Linked DNA regions of Tamandua tetradactyla. The protein of the gene in region 2 interacts with the protein of the main gene of each other region in a pairwise test. Links are inferred from orthologs where the notes say so. Each region holds a gene or a part of one and is shown on either strand. Other genes may lie near its edges.

Region 1 (9,566 bases), on a different chromosome or scaffold from region 2:
GTTTGCTTATTTGTTTGGGGAGTGCACCGGCCAGGAATCAAACCCAGGTTTCCCACGTGGCAGGCGAGAATTCTACCACTGAACTTCCCCTTGCACCCTCACTTTTTTGGACAAAACTTCATTTGTTGCCTCAGCAAACTCTTGAACTTAATTCCATTAAAGAACACGGTATATAAGTCCCTTAGATTTTAAAGATAATCTAAAAACAATCAGTTTAAGAATAAACTCGCCAAATATCTTCTTTTCCAAAAGAAAATGTCTATATAACTTACTGAAGAACCAAAAGGAAAGTATTTAAGGTAGGTTTTAAATAGTTAACCCACAACTGACAGATCATACCAAAAAAAAAAAAAAGGGAGGGGGATGGGAATTATGAAAAAGTTGTCCTTGTAAAAAAATGAGAGAATTCTCCTTCTGTATTCAAAACATAAGATTAAAATTTTCCAAACTATCATTGAATGGATTTTTAAATTTCTACTTCTTTTTTTCCAGTTTTTTATTCTCGAAACAGGTGGGATATCAGCTCTAGAATGAGTTAAAATCTTTGTCCTCAAAAAAAACAACTTATCCTGGTCTTTAAATCTTTGCCTTTAAAAAGAATGGGATTTTCTCAATATATTCAATGTTCTCCTTCAATCATTTTTCTAAAGATTTCTTCTTTAAAACCTAAGTGAGCACATCCAAGTTGGCCAAGATTGTTTAAATTCCCCATCTAAAGAAGCCTCCTAAACCTTGAGCCTGCTGCCCAGGATGTGAAGAGGGTGGGCCCCAGCTTTCAGATAATGCAAAAGTATTCTAAACTCTAAAGTGTTAACACCAATCCAAAATTGATACCTTCAGGGCAAAATGCCTATGTCAAAACAAACATACACATTAGCCATTTCAAAACAAGAATTAAAAAACAAAAGAACAGAAACCAACTTTTAAAAAAAGATTTCTTCACCATTATGAACACAATTTTTTTTAAATTAATGATCTGGCAATGACAATAACAACAACAACAACAACAACAACAACAATAATAATGAAAGGTAAAAGTATTTATTTACCCATATAAACACACTGGGGCAAAGGGTATATGTTAAAAGGTTAACTGACTCCTCATTATGACATAACACAGGCATCTTAAGCAATCGCAAGTGTTAGAGACATGATAACTCCCTGGGTGGATATGGAGTTGAGGGGCAGGGACCATGGCCCAGACTGGGCTACTGATCTACCAGAAAGCAGCCTGAAACAGGAAAGAGCACACATATGCCACTTGGAATGTATGACGCAAACCCCAGCCTTGAAACAAAGAACAGGAAACAGCTCTGCTGGCTGTGCTGGAGAGAAAGCACAGAGAAACATTTAGCCGGCCCTCCCTGACCCTATATTCATGAGCAGCTGGAGTTTTTTAAGACAACAACAGGGGGGTGGAGGTGTTTGTTCTATGGGTGTGAATAATAACACCAGTTTTATACAGGGGACCTGCCCTATTTACAAATAGGAGCTGCTACATACAGTAAACATCATAAGTGAACATGTGATTTTATCATATTCAAGCAGCAGAGACCTTCATAATTAACACCAGCCTCCCTCCGGATTTCTTTTGTCCCTTTCTCCCCCATGCCAATAGCTGGTCTCTAGCCTGATCAAATGATGATTATCATTCTGGCTCAGAGCATCTTGAGGAAAATGAAAATAGAGCACTGCTGTTAAGAATTAAGATTACAACTAGGTTACCACACATAATTGAAAATTAGATCCATTTTAAGGGTCCCTCAGTCACAGAACTAAATTCCGAGACGTGGTCTGTGGCACATCTAGAGTCACCCCAAGTTTTCACTGTCCTTTTCCACCTGCAGTTATAGACACATACGCTCACAGCTGCACATCTGTTTCAATGTACACACGTCTACAGAAATTCACCTTGGATAATGTGATTCCATCCCTGACATTTCACTTAATCCAAAATTGTTATACAATCTGTATACCGACTTTTAAAAGATAGTAATAGGTCTGTTTTCTTTTAGGAATTTTTAAAGTAGAGAAATCCACTCCTAGCTCTTTCCTATTATTTCTCTTTACTCTCTGACTGTTTAACTCAGCTTTTCATTACCAGAGATTTAAGGATCTGTGGGTAGACAAAACTACAGGTTCAAAAAAAAAGGCATCACTGTGCCCATAGCAACCAAAAGACTGGGTTTTAACTTAGAAACTTTGCAGTGAAAAAAAAAACACACAATAGCTTTTGTCAAAGCTATGTTGCTTTTTCATATGGACAAGGTTTTGTGGTCTAAGCAGCCACTTTTTTATTTTTCTAATGGTTATACAGCAAACCCTGAAGAATACAGAAACAGAGAAATCAGTTTCTGCAGAAAGTTTAAATTAATCAAACACTCTGAGGTTCCTATTAATAGCCCAAGGCCAACTCACATACTGCTTGTCTCAAGCCAGAAAAAAACTTATCTGTCAACTTTCTTTAAAAATACGAACTCACAAAATTTTGGAGATATTAATGCTATTAGATTTCTGCTCCCCACCTCCGACCCCAAAGCAAGTCTTCACTATCATCTAAACGGATTTCTCTTATAAAATTTCTCCTCAAATTCATACATAAAGCAATCAGAAAAGGACAGTGCAAAACTGCTCTGTGGAACACCCTATGATAATAAGCAACTGGCCTTTTCCCCACTTGATTTTGCTTAGTAATTACAGATGGTAAATCTAATGAAGTCAGAAGATCACTTTTCCCCAGATACCAGACTCTTTTAAGAACATAATCAATATATTTAAAGCGTCTTGGGTGTATCAATGGAAAAAAAAATCAGTTAAAAAAATCTGTGAAAACGTTTATTTTAGTGACTACAAGAAGGGAAGCAATTTCCATTTAACCTGACTTAAAAGTAAGTCCCATTCACATGTTCTCCGTTTGGTATTATTGTACACTACTGTAAAATTTAAACCAGAAAAAGAGGGTTCTCCCGTTTAAGTGCCAAGGACACGGACATGACAATTACAAGTATTATCTGCTATCACAGAAAAAGAGCCTGAAATGCTGGGTACGTCCCATGGGTGCTGGTCCAGGGATCACTTCTCGGCCCACACCTGGCTCGGGTCCCTAAAGCTGCAGGCATTTGCCCTAAGGTACTCTATACGCCTCCAGCTACACTGCAATCCTCCTTCCAGGCACTGCGGCAGGTTCTTTCCGGGTCCCGAGGAGGACTCTCCAAACCCGGCCAGCTCTTTTCCCCTGCCCAGGAGAATCCGGACGCCCTGCAGCGCCTGGAGCCCTGGACCGAGAACGGGATGCTAACTCCACTCCCAATTGCCCAAGTTTCCTCCCAGACGGCCTGGAGGCTGCTCCAAGTTTGCTCCGCCGGGCAAGCGGCCGCGCGCCCAGTCCGGCAGGGGGATAGCTGGGGGCACCCGCGGAGGGAGGGGAGGGAGCGGGAGTGGGGGGAACCGGGGGGGGGGGAGGGAGCCGGGGGGGGGGGGGAACCGGGAAGGGGAGGAGCAGGAGCGCGCGGCGGCCTCGGCGCTACCTTTCTCCAAACAACGTTGCCACACGCGGCGAACGCTGATTTCTGGGGCTTTGGAGGGAATCGCGGGCGGGCAGGCGGCGGCCCGGGGACCACACAGGTGAGGCCCCGCCTGCGCCGTCCCCGGGCCGGAGGCTGTCTGGGGGGCCGTGGCCGGCGCAGGCAGCCCCACGCCCCTGAACCTCCGGATACGCGCCGTGGATTCCCTCACCGTGACCGGTCCCACTTGTGACCGCTGAGCCCGGGGCCTCCTCCCCCTCGCCTCCCTCTCCGCCCCCACCCCCGGCAGCGAGGAGCTGTTGCACTTTCCCAAGCCCGCAGGCGCCCCCACCCCCACGCTGCACCGTCCCAAGCCCATTCACTACCCCCCTATTAAAAATATTCAACTAGACACGACGAAAAGGGGGTCGATTGGAGTCAGGCGTGAAAGAAAAGTGAGGGAGTGAGGACTTACTTTGAGAACCGCGGTGCTGAGCGCAGCGGACGATAAATAAAGGCCCGGCTCCGGGCTTCCTTAAACCCCACGAATGCAGTAATGTCAGCGCTCCAGTTCGGGCAGCGGCAGCGGCCGCAGGGGACCCGGACGCGCGCGCGTGCGACAGACGCGGTTCGGTTCGGCTCGGCTCGGCGGGCGCTTGCTTTGCGCTCCGGCTCCGGCCCGGCTCCGCGCGGCTCCGTTCCTGGCTCCCCTCTGGCTCCTGGCACCAACTCCGGGCAGTCACATGACGCCGGCGCCGCTCTCTCTGCGAGCCTCCCGAGGCTGGCGGGGTAAGTAGAGGCTGGAACCCGGGGTGGGAGGGTCAGGGAGGGGAGAGGGAGCCGCCGCGGCCGCCCGGGCTGGGCGGGTCCCCACCCACTTGGGTGGAGGCAGCCGCCGGAGGGGTCGGCCGAGTCACTCGCGCAAACACGCACCCCGCCCTGCGCCCTTCCCCCGCCACCCCCGCCTCCCGCGCCGCCTCCGCCCCGCCCCGCCCAGTCACCCGGGGACGGCCTGACAGACAGTCATTATTCCCCGGAGCCGGGCGCCGCCCCGCCGGCCAAACCTGTCCCGCGAGGCGCGGCGCAGCCGTGGGGCTGGGCGTGCACTGCGCGGCCCCCGCCCCAAAAGCTCCCGCCCCCCGCCCTGGCTCGGAGCGGCGGACCCTGAGCGCACGCCCTGCGCCCTCGCCCCGGAGGCCCCGCCCGTGCCCCATCCCCGCACCCTCCGCCCAGCGCCCTCCGCCCTCCTCCCTGGGGCCCGCGCCCCACCCGCCTGGGACCCGCCGCCGCGCCGCCGCCCGAGCCCGGGGGAAAGGAAGGGCGGCGCTGCCCGTTCCGGGCGTCACAGTGCTGCAACCCGCTGCGCGGCTTCCAAAACACACAGCCTTAGACTCGCGGGCGAGCCGAGGCGGGGGACGCGGGCCGGCCGGGGCCATCAATCAGCCGGCTCCGGCGGGAAGGGCGGCCCCGGGCGCGGCGGGAAGGGCTGGGCCCCAAGGCCAGCGCGGCCCCTCCTGGGCCGAGTAAATAAAACTCTCTGAAATTATAAAAAGAAAGAAAGAAAAAAGGCATCGGTGGTGTGGGAGCGGGTGGACGGGAACGGATTCAGGGAAAGAAGGCGGAGGGGAAAGGGGAACGGTGGGTTGCCCCCAAGCCTAAATGGTCCAGAATTTCCAGGGTCGTTCGACATCCTCTTGGCGCGCTCTTTCTTTGTGCCCCGGGGCTCCGGGACCCCCTTGTTGCTTTTTTGAGCGGCCGGAGGCCCCGCTCAGGGCAAACCTCCCACGGGCTTGGCCTGCCCCTGGGGCAGAAAGGCAGCTGCAGAGCGGCAGCATTTGTTCAGCCCGGCCTGCGGGAAAACTTGACAAACTTCGTTCCGGATCCTCCTGCCCAATGCATGAACCCGGGGCCGGGGAAGGGCTCGGATCGGGGACCTTTAGTTTCACGTTGCTTCCCTGGAACCGAGCGCGAGCGTGCTCAGTGGCCTTCAGGGCGTTCCAAGCAGGGCGGTGGAAAGGCGCTTTCTATCCAAGCCAGGTCCTTGGAGGACTTTGTATGGTTTGGTACTAGAGTTTGATGCCTTTTGATTTTCTTTTTAAATGGTATTATTGTAAAAAAAGAAGGCAATAAAAAGAACAAAGGGAAAAATTGGGCCAATTGTTTTAGTCCTGCGAATTGTTTTAAAACGCCCCTGCTTCAATCTATGGCTTATTATTGCTTCAAGATGTTTTAAAGGCCCTTTAAGTTCACCATTCTCTCTTTGATTCTTCATCCAGGCATGGTACTACTTATATATTGTATATTCCGAGCCCCATGCCCCATTATGTAGTTACACAGTATTATAAAATTAGTACCGGGTAACCTCAAGTAGTGAAATTGCATATTGTAAATAATGCACTTACATAAAAGATCACGCGGAGAATGACCAGACTGACACGGATTTTGTGCCATCATTTAAATATTAATCTTCAAAATGTAAAGAGTTGTAAGGTTTGTGTGTGTGTGTCTTTTAATAAAAGAATAAATGAATAAAAACAAAAAATACTGGGTTCGTGTCAATTATAATTGCAATTAATTGATCACTGACATTATTAAATGTCTGATTGGATGCCTTTGAATTGTGTAAGCCGAAAAATCATGCTAATGATGACTGATGGTATTGTTTACATTTCAGTGCCTGGTTCATAGTAGATGCTCCAAAAATACAGGCTGCATTTAAGAGACACATAGTGATGAGAACCTGTAACATATAAACCATTTTTTGGTGTTGTTGTTACAGTGTTCATGTGGGTGGGGACCCAAGGGAGAAGAGTGAAGTAGGTCTATCTGAGAAATGTGATCCAAGATAAGTAGGGAGGGGCTTTGATATGGAAGGCCTGAGAGGGAGGAGGAAAGCCATAAAAAGGAGGTTAATTAATGAACACACTGTGTTCAGTGCCCTGTGGGAGGCACCTCAAGGTAACTTGTACAATAAGTCCATCCAGTGCTCACTAACTCAGTGAAGGACACCACCATCCATCCGTCCAGTTGCTCAGACCAGAACTACAACTGTGTCATCCTTGACTCCTTTTCTTTCTGAACTCCTCACAGCTCATCATTCACTGAATCCTGGACCTGCTTAGTCACATACCCACTTCTTGACCACTACCTTGGTCCACCCTATTGCTGCAGTGTCCTGTTGTTGATCACCATGTTTGTAGCATGGCTAAAGTGTGGAAAGGTATTGAAACAATGGAGTAAGAGTGTCTTTTCTAAAATGCATACCCACACATGTCAGTCCCTTCAGTGAATTCCTTTAGGATAAAGTCCAAGGGCTTACCACCTTACATGGCCTGGCCTGTATCTATATTGCAGGCTCATCTTTCCTTGGTCTCCCTTTCTCACTCTTCTTGCGTTAATGAGCATTTTTCCACCTCCTTCTTCTCATCTCTGGCCTTTTGCACATGCTCATTTTCCTAGGTAGTATAGCTTCCTTGCTTTCTCCCCCAACTTTTTTTTTGCATGGGCAGGCACCTGGAATCTAACCCAGGTCTCCGGCATGGCAGGCAAGAACTCTGCCACTGGGCCGCTATTGCCCGCCCTCCCCCAACTTCTGACCTCCATTCTCATTTCCCTGAATTCTGTTCATCCTTCAAGTCTCGACTTAAATTATGTTTCTTTCCAAATATGTGTTCTCTCAACTTCACTCCCACCCCACCTACAGATGAGTTGAGGTTTCCTTCTTGATGCTCTGACAGTACCCATGTTTTACCTCTTATAACATTTTTCATGCCTTTTTGTAGTTGACTATTTAGTTATCTTTCTGTGGCACCAGGATGGAAACTGTGAGAGCAGGGACCTTGTCTTTTTAGCAAAATTGAATTCCCAGGGCCCAGAGGCTCAACCCGAATATTTGTAAAATGAATAAATGTGTTCTATGAATTTAGAAGAAGTCATTCATTCTCAGCTCAAGAGGGGAGAGGAAGCTTTGGGGCAGCAAGCAGCCATGAACATGTATACCTTGAAAAACCCAAGGGCTTTGAAATAGTGAAACAGAAGGAGGATGAGGCTCCCTTCACTGAATGTTTTTAAGCAGCAGAGTGAGATGATAAAAGTGGTGCCTAGGTCTTGTTTTCTTCCCTAACACTTAGCACAGTGTCTTGTCCATGGTTAGGTGTTCAATAAATCATGGCTGTATGAAATACCTTAAGCTTGGTCCTTGCAGCAGCTGCTTCACCCTTTGTCTTTGTTAACAGCAGCCCTGTCTGGCTTGGCTTCTGGGCAGCATATGCTCAAGAAGGATGCCCCTCCTGGGATCAGTGGAAGAACCGTCATTGCTCCCTGCCAGTCATTGCAGTCTCAGTCCTTTTGGCTAGTGCCTGGTTGAGGAGTAGGTCTGTGACCTAGTTCTGGCCAGTGGAATCTGAAGAGAAGTGTGCTGTATTTATTTATGGAAAATATTTTTCTCCCTGACAAAAGGAGACCCTTATGAGAATAAGCTTCCAGAACCTGTTTGGAAGGTGTTATGTGAAGATGTGATGCTTGAAGATGTGGCAGCCATCTTTGATCATGAGGGGAAAGCTAAGATACCCACAGAGCTACTGAATTAATCCCCCTTGACTTATTGTCATGTGAGAGAATTTAATGTCTGTGTTATTGAGGCAACTTTTAGTTACATTCTATAGCCCAAGCCCTAATTAACCTGCTGATACATAGGTAATGTATCAATTGTACCTATTGATACATAGGTAATGAACACTGGAATTCCAGTGTTCATGGTCTTGGTAAATGATACCAGCCAGCATCCAACCAGACCAGTGGTTCTTAACTTGGGGCAGTTCCTCCCTCAGGGGACATTTGGTAATGTCTGGAGACATCATTGGCTGTCATGATTGGGGGTGGGGCTTACTGGCATTGAGTGGATAGAGGCCAGTGATGCTGCTACATATGCTATAACACACAAGATAGCCTTCTACAAAGTATCAGTAGTGCCACCACTGAGAACCTTGATCTACATGTGTGTTTTGGTTTGCTGATGATGCCAGAAGGCAATATACCAGAAATGGATTGGCTTTTACAAGAGGGATTTATTAGGTTACATATTTACAATTCTAATGCCATGAAAATGCCCAAATTGAGACAACAAGAGGATACCTTCATTCAAAAAGGCTGATCACTTTTGGGATTTCTGTCTTATGGTATATTAGTTAGCTAATGCTGCTGGAATGCAATATACCAGAAATGGAATGGCTTCATAAATGGAATTTATTACATTACAAGTTTACAGTTCTTAGGCCATGAAAATGCCCAAATTCAGGCGCCAACAAGAGGTTACCTTCCTTCAAGAAAGGCTGATGCCATCTGGAACACCTCTGTCAGCTAGAAAGGTATGTGGCTGGCATCTGCTGGTCTTTGTTCCCAGTTCCGTTGCTTCCAGCTCCTGATGCCAGTGGTTTCCTCTCTAAGTGTCTGTGGGCATTCATTTAGCTCCTTTGGGACACAGCTCTGGGTTCTTGCTTGCTTAGCATTTAATGGGAAAGCATGTGGCGATGTCTGCTGGACTCTACCTGTGTCTAGACATCTGCTCTCTCTGTTGGCACTCCAAGCATCTCCCAACATCCATGTCTCTGTAGCTCTGAAGCAACTGTTCTCCAAGCATCTGCATCCAAGGTTTCTTCAAAACATTTCTGATTTTAAAGGACTCCAGTAAACTAATCAATACCCACCCCCCTTGAATGGGCAGAGTCACATCTCCATCTAACCAAAGGCCACACCTGACAAATGGGCATGCCATATCTTCGCAAAGATAATTTCATCAAAAGGTCACACCCACAACTGGGGCATCACATCTCTGGAGATGATCTAGTCAAAAGGGTTTTTACACTACGATATTGAATCCAGATTAAAGGACATGTCTTTTCTCAGGTACACTACACTTTCAAATTGGCACACACAGGAAGAACATGGTGCTATATACTGGCCCTTCTCTTCAGGGCTGGTTTCAAAATGGATCTCTCAGCAACTGTGGGTCCTCTGGCTTCTGGTGGGGGTTTTCTTTCTCTAAGCATCTTTCACTTAGTTTCA
Region 2 (10,030 bases):
TGCTCTCTGGGGGCTGGGAGAAGGGCTGGAGGAGGGGACCCAGAAGCAGAGACGCCTCCTCACCTCGTGGCTCCTTGGCCCGCGGAGGCTCTCTCTTCCGCCGTTTCCGTGACGGTTTCACCCAAGGGCTGTCCTTCCGCCATTTCTTCTTGGCCTTGCGCCGGCCACTGGAGCCACTCTGGGAGCAGGGGGAGAGTTAGGGACCCCAGTGTCTACCCCCACAGCCCACCTCTCCTCTGGGGACTTCAGTCTCTAGCCCTTACTCTGTCTGATTGATTGCCGGACTCTTCATCTTCCTCCTCTTCTTCCTCCTCTTCTTCCTCTTCCTCCTCTTCCTCCTCCTCCTCCTCCTCCTCTTCCTCTTCCTCACTCAGTTGTTCGGCCAGAGCTTCAACTTCAGACTGCGAGAGAGGCAAGGTGGGGCTGGGGGCACAGTGGTCCCAGGCTACAGCTGTCTCCTGGTGGAGCCCAGGAGAGGGGCAGGGCAGGACATCCCCCACAAAAGGATTGGGGCACCGAGTTGGCAATAAGCAAATTACAACCACTCCATGGGGGGCGGGGCGGGTGTGTGTGTGGAGTACTACACAGAAGGGAGAAAAGGAGTACTACACAGAAGGGAGAAAAGAGTCATAGCCACGAATAACAATGTATGTGAATCTTTGCAACATAACAGTAACTTTAAAAAAAGGAAGCTTCTAGAGGATAATTGCATAGTGTGATACCTTTTAATGGCGTTCACAAATAGACAAGACTACTGATGGCTGCTAAAGCACTAGGTGAAAAGCAAACAGAGAATTTTATAATGAATTAATCAGGCTAATGTCAGCTTAGTCCGCTGAATATTCCTAACATCGCTAACGAGAGAGATCAGACATTCTGTGCTTCCCAATGCGATGCAAAAGGAAGCACCTGGCACCAGTTATCAGGTCTTCTTGCAAAGTAAAGCTGAGCACACTTGTAGATCTAGTTTACAAAAAATAAGGGGTCAAGAGGGACATGTCAAAACCCCACCACAATAAGCCAACTCCTAACTAAGAAATCCACACTTAGTAAGATAACTAACCTGGTTTCCTTACAAGAAATAGCAAGGAAAAAATTTCAGGAAAGAGGGGGAAACTACTTAGCAAGAGCGATCTAAGACAAATGTCAATCTAACCAACGCGTGGACCTCATTTGGATCTCAACAAACAAAACCCATTTATGAACTAATTAAGGAATCATGAACAGCAACCAGATATTTTATAGGATTTAGGAATCATCGGTAAACTTTTTTTGGTGTGAAAATAGTAATGGAGTGGTAGAAAGAAGAGGCCTAGTACCTAGAGATGCAGGTGGAAATATTTATAGATAAAATGATATGATGTCTGGGATTTAGCTTTAAAATAATCCAGTAGGTATGTACTGGAGTGAGGCTAGAGCAAGGAAATAAAAAACTGCAAACTAGTGACAATTAAACAACAAATAGAATGTTAAACCCAGTGTCCAGGATGGTGGTGGCCTCTGTGAAAAGGGTCAAGGGATGGCATGGGAAATAACCCTGGGAGTAAGTTATAGGTAGTATTAGGCAGTGAATGAATGGGCGCAAAATGAATGGGGGAGGGGGGAGGAAAGTGTGGCCAGTGAACCCAGGCTGTGGTGGAGGGGGGCTGGGGGAGGCCGGCCAGCTCCATCTCACCTTGCTGTCAGAGTCCACGCGTTCGTCCACAGAGTAGGAATCATAGTAGAGACTGAAGTCATCTCCCACCACTGTCTCCCACTCCTCCAGGGGCCCAGGGTCCCCCTTCTCCAGAGTCACTTCTCCTGAGCCCCGGGCAGAAGCCAACTCATCCGACTAGAAAAAGAGCAGAAAAACTGACGTCGCTGGCACTCCTCACCAACTTTCACCTCCCCTGAGCACCCAGAGTCGGGTCCCAGGCCTGGGCACCCCTGAAGCAGCCCCACCCCAACCCCAGGTGGAGAGGCTTCGCTCCCTGCCTCTCCTGGCTCACCAGGCTGCCTCTAGAGTTCAGTTTCCTCCTTTTGACGGCATCTGGAAGGAGAGAGGAGTGAGGCTTGTACTCGAAATCCTGCGGACAGGCCACATCAGGCTGCAGTGGGTGGGGGGTGGGACTGACCTGAGGTCACCTTCCCCAGGGAGTGCACGTCATCACTCATGCGGAAATGCTGCACTTCAGGGGGCCGCTTCTCGGGGACAGGGGGCTGGGGGCCGAGAGGGAGCACACTTAGGAGAAGGGAATACCTACAGTTCTGCACAGTAGCCTGGAGCCCTTGGTGGGGCTGGATTGGCGGGCCACACCCTTAAAAATGCCATCTGGGTCTCCAGGAACGAGTATGTAGCAATACCAAGGGCTGTTTGCCTCAGAGGAGGATGTCAAGCACATCCCCCACCACCAACCATCACTTATCTTTCAGCCACCCAGATGCAGGGGTCGTTCTCCCATTTTTAAGATGAGAAAACAAACTTTACAGATTAAAGATCCTCGTTGATGGTCACACGTTATGAATGTAATCAATACCAGCAAGTTGAGCAATTCAAAGTGGTTAAAATGGGAAATGTTACATTGTATATATTTTAACACACACACACACACACACACACACACACACACACACACACACAAGATGAAAGACCTGACTGAGGCTGCCCAAACCACAGCCAGGACAGAATGTTATCAAGAGTCCTTAAAACCCGGCCATAAAGTTTCTGAGATTCTGGGGCCATTGTCATTTCCCTCCACTCATTTCTGTAGTCCTTCCTCATAGGGATTCCCAGGAATTTAAAACGGAGCAGGGGCAGCTTCAAAGAAAGGAGAAAAAAAATTCCCCTGGGGGCTGGCTTTGAGGCAGAAAGGAAGGGTGGTTTCAAGTTCCTTTACATAGTCATTATCATAAAGGTAAGTAAGACCTTTGACTATATAATTAACTCTTTAAACCTGTCTCTGTCTTCCTCTCCAAGGACGTGAAACTCCAGAAAGACACAAAGACGTGTGTTCAAGAATTAAGCTCCCTGGCCCAGTCCCTTGAAACCATATGTGAACACGTGACTGAACTAGAAGACGCCTGAAACCAAGTTGTAAAAAAAGCCCACAAGAGTTTCCTGGCAGTTGATCGCCCCACCCCCCACCCCCCACTTCTTACCTGTCCATTGGCAGGTTTAGACATGGTTTTCCGGGCTCGGTGAACCTTGGGCTGCCCCTCTGGACTGGGGGTGGCCGGAGGGGGCTCAGGCCCTGCTGCTGTTGCTCCCTGGGCACCTGGCATGCTCAGCAGCCTCATAGCTAAGCTCTGGACTGAGGGGGGGGACTTGCCAGCCCCTGTCATTGACATCTTGGCCCGGCTGGGACAGGCGCCCCCCTTGCTGGGGGAGGAGGGGAATGACTTTGTGGCATGGCCTAAAAAACAGTCAGGCAGACAGGCAGAAGGCAAGATAAGAGCGAAGGCAGAGTCAAAGGCTGCCCCGCCCCCACCTCCACCCCCCCACCACCCCCAGCCTCTCACCCAGCAGGATGCGGCCACCATGGAGGTCCCCATCTCCTTCGAGGCTCTCGGGTTCATCCCCAATGAGCGGTGTGGCCCCCACAGGGGTATCAGCCCTCTCATCGCCAACGGTGACAGTGACAGAGGCTGGGGATGAGGGGCCAGCTGGCTCCAGGGGGTCGGGGGTGGTCTTGGACAGGGTCTCCTCACTACGAGGGGTGTCCCCCAAAGAGCCATGAACTAAAGAGGAAGAGAAAAAAGTACAGAGCTAAGGGCTATATTGGGGGAGGTGAAGGTCCAACTGGGCCCGTTTCAGCTGCACACTCACCTCTCTCGGCGGCTCCTCTGGGCTCCTTCTCCAGCAGCAGTGCCCCCACCTCAGCGGGGGTCTCCCCCTGGGAGGGGAGACAAGGGACGGGAGGGCTGGTCAGGCCGGTAGGGAGTTGGGGGGCCCAGGACGCCTGGGCTCTGGGAAGAGACAGCAGGCTCCGGGGCCTACCTCTTCCCCTATGGGCCCCCCCCCCTTCCGCGGCCTCGGCTGCCCGGAGGGGCCGCACGACCCCTCCCCCGGGCCCGCATCAGCCCCCTCCCTCTCGGCAGACCCCGCATCTCTGGGGCCGAGAGGAGAGGAGGGGGAGGGGGCGGGGCCTCCGCGCCCCGGCCCCGCCCCCTCCTCCCGGCTGCACGCGCCGCTCCCCCTTTGTCCCCCAGGCCGCGGGGACCCCGGGCACCAACCCCTCCAGCGCCCGCTGCCCCCCAGCCTGGCGGACGGCCCCTCGTGCCCCTCGCGCGTGTCGCTGGGGCCCCGGCGCCCGCCGCCCACTCGGGGGCAGCCGGCGGCTGCACGCGCGCCTCCGTGCCCACTCCCCCCACCTCCCACCCCCTGGTCCCCTCATCCGCCCCCGGTGTTGGCCCCCCAGATTGCTGCAAGTCCCGCCCGGGCCCCCCGGCCCCGTTGCACCCCCGGAGCATTGCACGGGCGCGCGCTTCCCCCGGGCGCGCGCGCGGGCATGCACCCGCCTCTCCCCCTCCCCTTCCGCACCTCGGCGGCCGCCACCGCTGCAGCTCCCGCCGCCGCCGCCATCGCCGCTCGCGCGGGGGGCCGAGCCGGCGCGCGGCCGCCCCGGGTCACGTGGGCGGGGGGAGGGAGGGCGAGGAGGGGTCTTAAAGGCGCCGCACAGCGCTTTTCTGGCCATTTTCCCCCGAGAGCTGCCTTGGAGATGGCGGTGGTTGTTCTAAGCTCCAGGCCGTAGGCGACAATTGCTGCCCTTCCTGGCCTCAGCTCTGCGGAGAACCGAGGGCGACGCACGCCTGGGCCCAAGTGTGGCCTTTCCGTGCGTACCTGGTTTTAGGTAACAAACGGAGAGTCTGACCCTCCTGATTCTTGGCCTCGGCTGTATTTTTATCCGGCCCGCGTGTGCTTCTCCCACTTCTGGTTGCTCTTTTCTCTTTCTGGTTTCTGGGTCACCAGACTAGAAGGCTCAGCCGTAATTTTGGCCTCGCTTCTCTAAGGAGCAAGAAGGGGGCGATGGGGATGCGCCGAGAACACTTACACGCTCTGCTAGTGTGGCCTTGCTGCTTCTTGTCCCCTCTAGTAGCGTCCCCTTTTGAAAACCTGAGACTAAATGTCTCTTGTGTTTATGCTGGGCATGTTACTGCATCACATGCACTAGGGATCCAGGTAAGCCCCAGCAGCCCAAGAATCATTACTACCAATTGACACTGCATTTACCCTTTTTTTCACTTCCTAAACACTTCACAAGCAAAATCAGACACTCCATGAGTCATAGCCTAGCTATCAATGAAAGTAGGAATGATATTGCACCAAAATGTACAACCTCGAGCACTAAAGTACCACCCCTTTAGGTATGGCATTCTGGCTAAATTTGGAAGATAACGATTTCACAGGAAGTATTGGACACAGGTAGGTGGTTGAGATAAGGGGCACCTGAGGCCAATTCAAGGCCTTCTGGGAACTGTAGTTCTCTTTGGTTAAGACCTATTCCATAGCTTTCTGGGAATTGTAGTCTTCCTTGCACCAGAACCCAAATGTAGCGGTTGTTCACTTTTCCCTGGAAACTGTACCTACTACCTAGACAAAAATTGCCCAAACCCGGAATTCTGCTTATAATTCAGTGGACATACTGACCCCCCTGTATAACCTATCCCTAGTCCTAATACCGAACTCATCAAATAGAAAAGCAACTCAGGTGCATCCCAGCCACTACCAAACAACCACTGCACTTGTGGTGCTATGGGGTATCTTGCAAGGTGCTGAGGTTACAGAACTGACAAGAGTCCCTGGCGAGAGGAGCACACTTGTTACACTCTCCCTTCCCTGTTACAGGCTGGGGTCCTTCGGGGATGGGACCTGCAGGAGTTGTGATCTCCAGGTATTGAGCATGCCACATTAGAGGGAGAGGCTGTCTAGGGTGGGGCAGTCAGAGAACTGAATAAAGAAAAAGGGTTGGTCATAGACACGCAGTTGCCAGAGTATAAAGAAAAAAAGGTGGTTTTTTTTTTTATTTTTTGTTGAAAATAAAAGCAGAAAAACTAAAACCCCAAACTCCAGAAAAAATCCTAAAAAATACGTTTTGTTTTTTTAAAAAATACTGTATAAGTCTCTACTCCTTCCCCCCCCAACAGCCCTTGTGTCCTCTCTTCTAAGTGCCCTCCCCCCACCCCTGCCACTATTCACACTGTTCTCGCTATTATACCCCCACTTCCCAATATCTACCCAGGATGCTCACCTCCATATTCTCTTACCTGACTTCTTACTTCGTTCTCCCTAGAATTTTGGAGAGCCTTGTACCCAAAGTCCCCAACCCCCAGCATGCAAGAACCGTTTCCCCGTTTCTTTTCTGGGATTCAATACTCTTCTCCCCTACCATTCCCTCTGCTGAGGGTCTATTCTAAACAGGAGCATGTAGGCTGCCTCCTGCCCAGTTCCCTCCCGATTCCCACCCACCCAAACCCACCTCATGAAATGTCAGAATCTCCTCCTGGGCAGCCTTTAACCCAGAATAACACAAGCTCCAGTCTTTTTTCTCCTCATTCTATAGGACCCTCCCCCTCCCTCCATATATCCATGCACTTCTTAGAGACAATCTTTCTCTGGGACTCCGGATCCCCTGACCTCAAAAAACCCTCTCCCCATCTCCTTCATTCTCCCCCCCACTCCCCGCTGTGAAGAGGCAGGGTCTTCTCTCCAAGGAATCTTCGGCCCCTCCCTCAGGATATGTCTGGCTAGGTTCCCCGCCATACTTTCCTGCCCCAGACCCCCCCCCCCCCATTCTCCTAGACCCTTCCCACCGAGCCCAGGGGCCCCGGGCCCACTAGCGGATGAGGACGTTGATCTCAGCCACGCTGGCCTCCAGCACGTTCTCGGCGGTGGTCTTGCCGTGCTGCTCCTTGAGGTGCCGCCTAATGGCGGGCTTGTGGGCGAAGCGCACGTCGCAGTAAGAGCAGCGGTAGGGCCGAGCTCCCGAGTGCAGGTTGAGGTGGTCGTGCAGCGTGGACTTCTGCGTGAAGCACTTGCCGCAGATGCCGCACGAGTGCGACTTCACGCCGCGGTGCACGTTCATGTGGCGGTTGAGGTTGCTGCTGTGGTTGAACTGCTTACCGCAGCGCGGGCACATGAAAATGAAGTGTTGCGCCCGCATGTGGAAGACCAGCTTCTCCACGCCCTGGAACACTTCCGGGCACTTGGTGCACTTGATGTTCTTCAGGGGGTTCCCACCCGAGAAACCCCCGGGCAGGGGCCCCCGGCTGCCCCCCGCCCCCAGGCTGCCCCCCGCCCCCCGGGCAGCCATGGCCACTGCTGCCGCCTCCACCAGACCCGAAGTGGCCCCCACGCTGGCCCGGCCCCCTGGGATCAACAGCAGGCCCTCCCCTTCTGCATCCTCAGAAAGGCTGTAGCATGCCTTCACCACACCCTGCGGCGGGGCCACGGCACTGGGGGGCATGCTGCTTTTGGCCAGCTCCCCGAGATGGCCGCTCACGGATCCTCCGATGCCCAGACCTCCTCCCAGGCCTCCGGGGGGTTTGAGCCGGTGCGCCACCTCCAGGGCGGACTCCACCTTGACAATGCAGATGTCAGACACGTCTTCGTCCTCATCCTCGTCCTCCTCCTCCGCCTTCAGCTCCAGGTCCTCATCCAGCGGGAACTCCAGCTTCACAGGGCGCAGGAGCGGAGGGGGCAGAGGAGGTGGAGGAGGGGGTTTGGGGGCCGGCTTTGGGGTCCTGGCAGGAGGTAGGAGGGACTTGGTAGCGCTGACACCGCTCACGAGGCTGGCCTCGCTGACCCCGTCCTCTTTGAGGCCAATCTTGGGCTCGATGAACTGGCTGAGGGCGTTCCGGCATTTCTCCACCACGTGCTCCATCTGCAGGTAGGAGGCAGCCGTCAGATAGTTGACGATGTCCCTGACGGCAAATTCCAGGGCACCAGTGTAGCAGGAGAGGAGCAGGTCCGCCACGATGCGCGCACTGTGCATCAACGAGACCTGCAGCTCAGAGCTGGGGTTCAGCAGGAACTGGTCCCGCAGGAACGGCGAGCAGGCGGCCAGGATGACCTTGTGGCCGCGGAACTTGAGGCTGTCGGCCACAATGGTCACGTCGCAGAACCGCTCCTCTGCGCGGAGCTGGTTCATGTTCCGCAGTGTAGCGGCCTCATGGCCCGGCAGCTGGAAGCGCAGGACTTCCACCCCAGAGGCCATTGTGGCGGAGGGGGCAACCCTAGTTGGGAAGGAAAATGGTCAGAGACAAAGGTCTCTGGCTCTCCGAAGCCGTGGCTCTAGGCCCCGCACCTCCATTCTTGCTCGACCTCCTATCCCCAACACCCTATCCACAAGACTTCAGGACTCTTCCTCAGTTTCCCCAGTGCCAGGGGAGTCGCTGGGCCCCTGCGAGAAGGAGGCGTGGTTGCCGGGGGCGGGGCCGCCGGCGAGCATCGGGCAAGCCCGCGAGCCCACTGGGGAGGAACTGAGGGAGGGGGGGTAGAGACCTGGGACTCTGGGCTCCGGGGCGGCCCGGGTTGCAGGTTCTTCTCACCCCGCCCCCTTTACCCGCAGCCTCGTTCCTCCGCCCCCCCTTTGCACGTTTGCACGCGCCTTTCACGTTCCCCCCTCCTGCCGTCTGCACGCATCGTGCACGCCACCCCCCAGGTCCGTGGCACGCCCCCCAGCCCCACGACCCTAAATGCACGCGCCTCTCACCTGGCAGGGTTCCGCGCGCTGTTTTTTCCCCCCTATTTCCCCCACCCCCCCGGGGCTGGCGGCGCCCCCCACACACGGGCAGGGCCTGGGCAACGCGCAGGCGCGGGGGTGCACGGGGCGCGCGCGCGTGGCCGGCTCCGCGTGGGTGTAAGGGGGAGGGGCGGGGGCGGCTCGTGCCGTGTGTCCCAGGCCCCGCGCGCGGCGGCGGCGGCGGCGAGGACTCGGGGAGGAGGAAGAGGGGAGGGAATTAAAGGAGCAGGATCCCCCCTTCCCGACCCCCCTTTCTTCACCAGCCCCCCCTGACGCGGTTAAAGGGGCCGGACGGCCTTGCCTCCCCTTTGGCCGAGATTATTTGTCCGCCAGAGCGGAAATACGTTCCACTCCCCGCTCTTTCTCGCTCCCCCTCCTCTGTGCCTCCAGGCCCCGCGGTCCGTCTGCGCGTGCGTGCCAAGTGCCGCGCGGAGGCTCGCTTGCTCCGGCCCGCCTCCTGCTCCCGGCGGCCAGCGGCGCTACCCGCTCCGCACCCCGCCTTCCAGCTTTGAGCGTCCGCCTGGCTCCCAGTGGGCCTGGCATCCCGCTGGCCTGGCTGCCACCTGCTCCCAGAAGTGGTGCCGCTTTGGTCCACCTGTGCGGCGCTGGAGACCGTGGTAGAATCGCGGCCTATCCCAGGGCCCTAAACCGCCCGGCGAGTATCGGAGCTGTTGATCGCTGTTTCCACGCGTGTATCTCCTTTTGAGTGTGTTCCCAGTTCCTCCAGCCACACTTCCAGATTTTTCCCACTCTTCTGAAGCTAGCAACCACCCCCGCCCTTCTAGCTGATAACTTCGCTTTCCACGAAGCCTGACAATTCAGTGCCCTCAACTTTCCTCCCCTCCATCTCACAATCGCTTAAAATCACATCCATCCTCTCCTCCCGTCCAGTCTCAGAATTAAGCCCAACTTCTTGCCAAGACAAACGCCCTTCACTTGCACTATGACCTTGCCTATTTCACTCCTACTATATAATTAGCCCTAGCACTAATTCTTCTAATTATACGATTATTTATATTACTATGATCCCACTATCTTTCTTCTTTCGGTTGCAATTGCCCCTCCACCCACCTCCCTTCCTCAGACTGACGCCTTAAACAAACTTCCCCTCAACTCTGCTCCTTTGCCTTCTCTTTGTAACTCCCTAACTGTACTAAAGTCTCCCTTCCCCTCCTCTTCCTTGCACTCCTCACACCTACACTCACTTCTCCATTCATCCAAGTCCAGGTGAAGATGCTCCTGTTTCCTACCAATTGGATTTGCTTATTACGTCTTCTAGAAGACTAGAGCATTTTTCTTATACCTCAATT

The links.
Region 1: the proteins of EHMT2 (region 2) and KLF3 interact in binary tests that used the Homo sapiens proteins (3 or more experiments, as listed by UniProt). The two-hybrid records come from large-scale screens. The link is inferred for Tamandua tetradactyla from reciprocal best matches to the Homo sapiens genes EHMT2 and KLF3.

The regions. Positions count from the first base shown.
Region 1 is NC_135345.1:40,245,989-40,255,554, reverse strand, and holds the start of KLF3 (Krueppel-like factor 3), read right to left. Parts: upstream 4,405-9,566; 5' UTR 4,293-4,404; coding exon of another isoform or gene 4,060-4,292; 5' UTR 3,979-4,059; exon of another isoform or gene 3,539-3,978; intron 1-3,538. Other genes in the region: uncharacterized protein LOC143663134, read left to right, coding at 4,060-4,292. UniProt on the Homo sapiens protein: Binds to the CACCC box of erythroid cell-expressed genes. May play a role in hematopoiesis.
Region 2 is NC_135331.1:87,473,582-87,483,611, forward strand, and holds the start of EHMT2 (histone-lysine N-methyltransferase EHMT2), read right to left. Parts: upstream 4,570-10,030; 5' UTR 4,562-4,569; coding exon 4,520-4,561; intron 3,873-4,519; coding exon 3,806-3,872; intron 3,718-3,805; coding exon 3,499-3,717; intron 3,393-3,498; coding exon 3,139-3,392; intron 2,200-3,138; coding exon 2,115-2,199; intron 2,030-2,114; coding exon 1,989-2,029; intron 1,832-1,988; coding exon 1,676-1,831; intron 402-1,675; coding exon 264-401; intron 179-263; coding exon 64-178; intron 1-63. Other genes in the region: ZBTB12 (zinc finger and BTB domain-containing protein 12), read right to left, coding at 6,813-8,192. UniProt on the Homo sapiens protein: Histone methyltransferase that specifically mono- and dimethylates 'Lys-9' of histone H3 (H3K9me1 and H3K9me2, respectively) in euchromatin.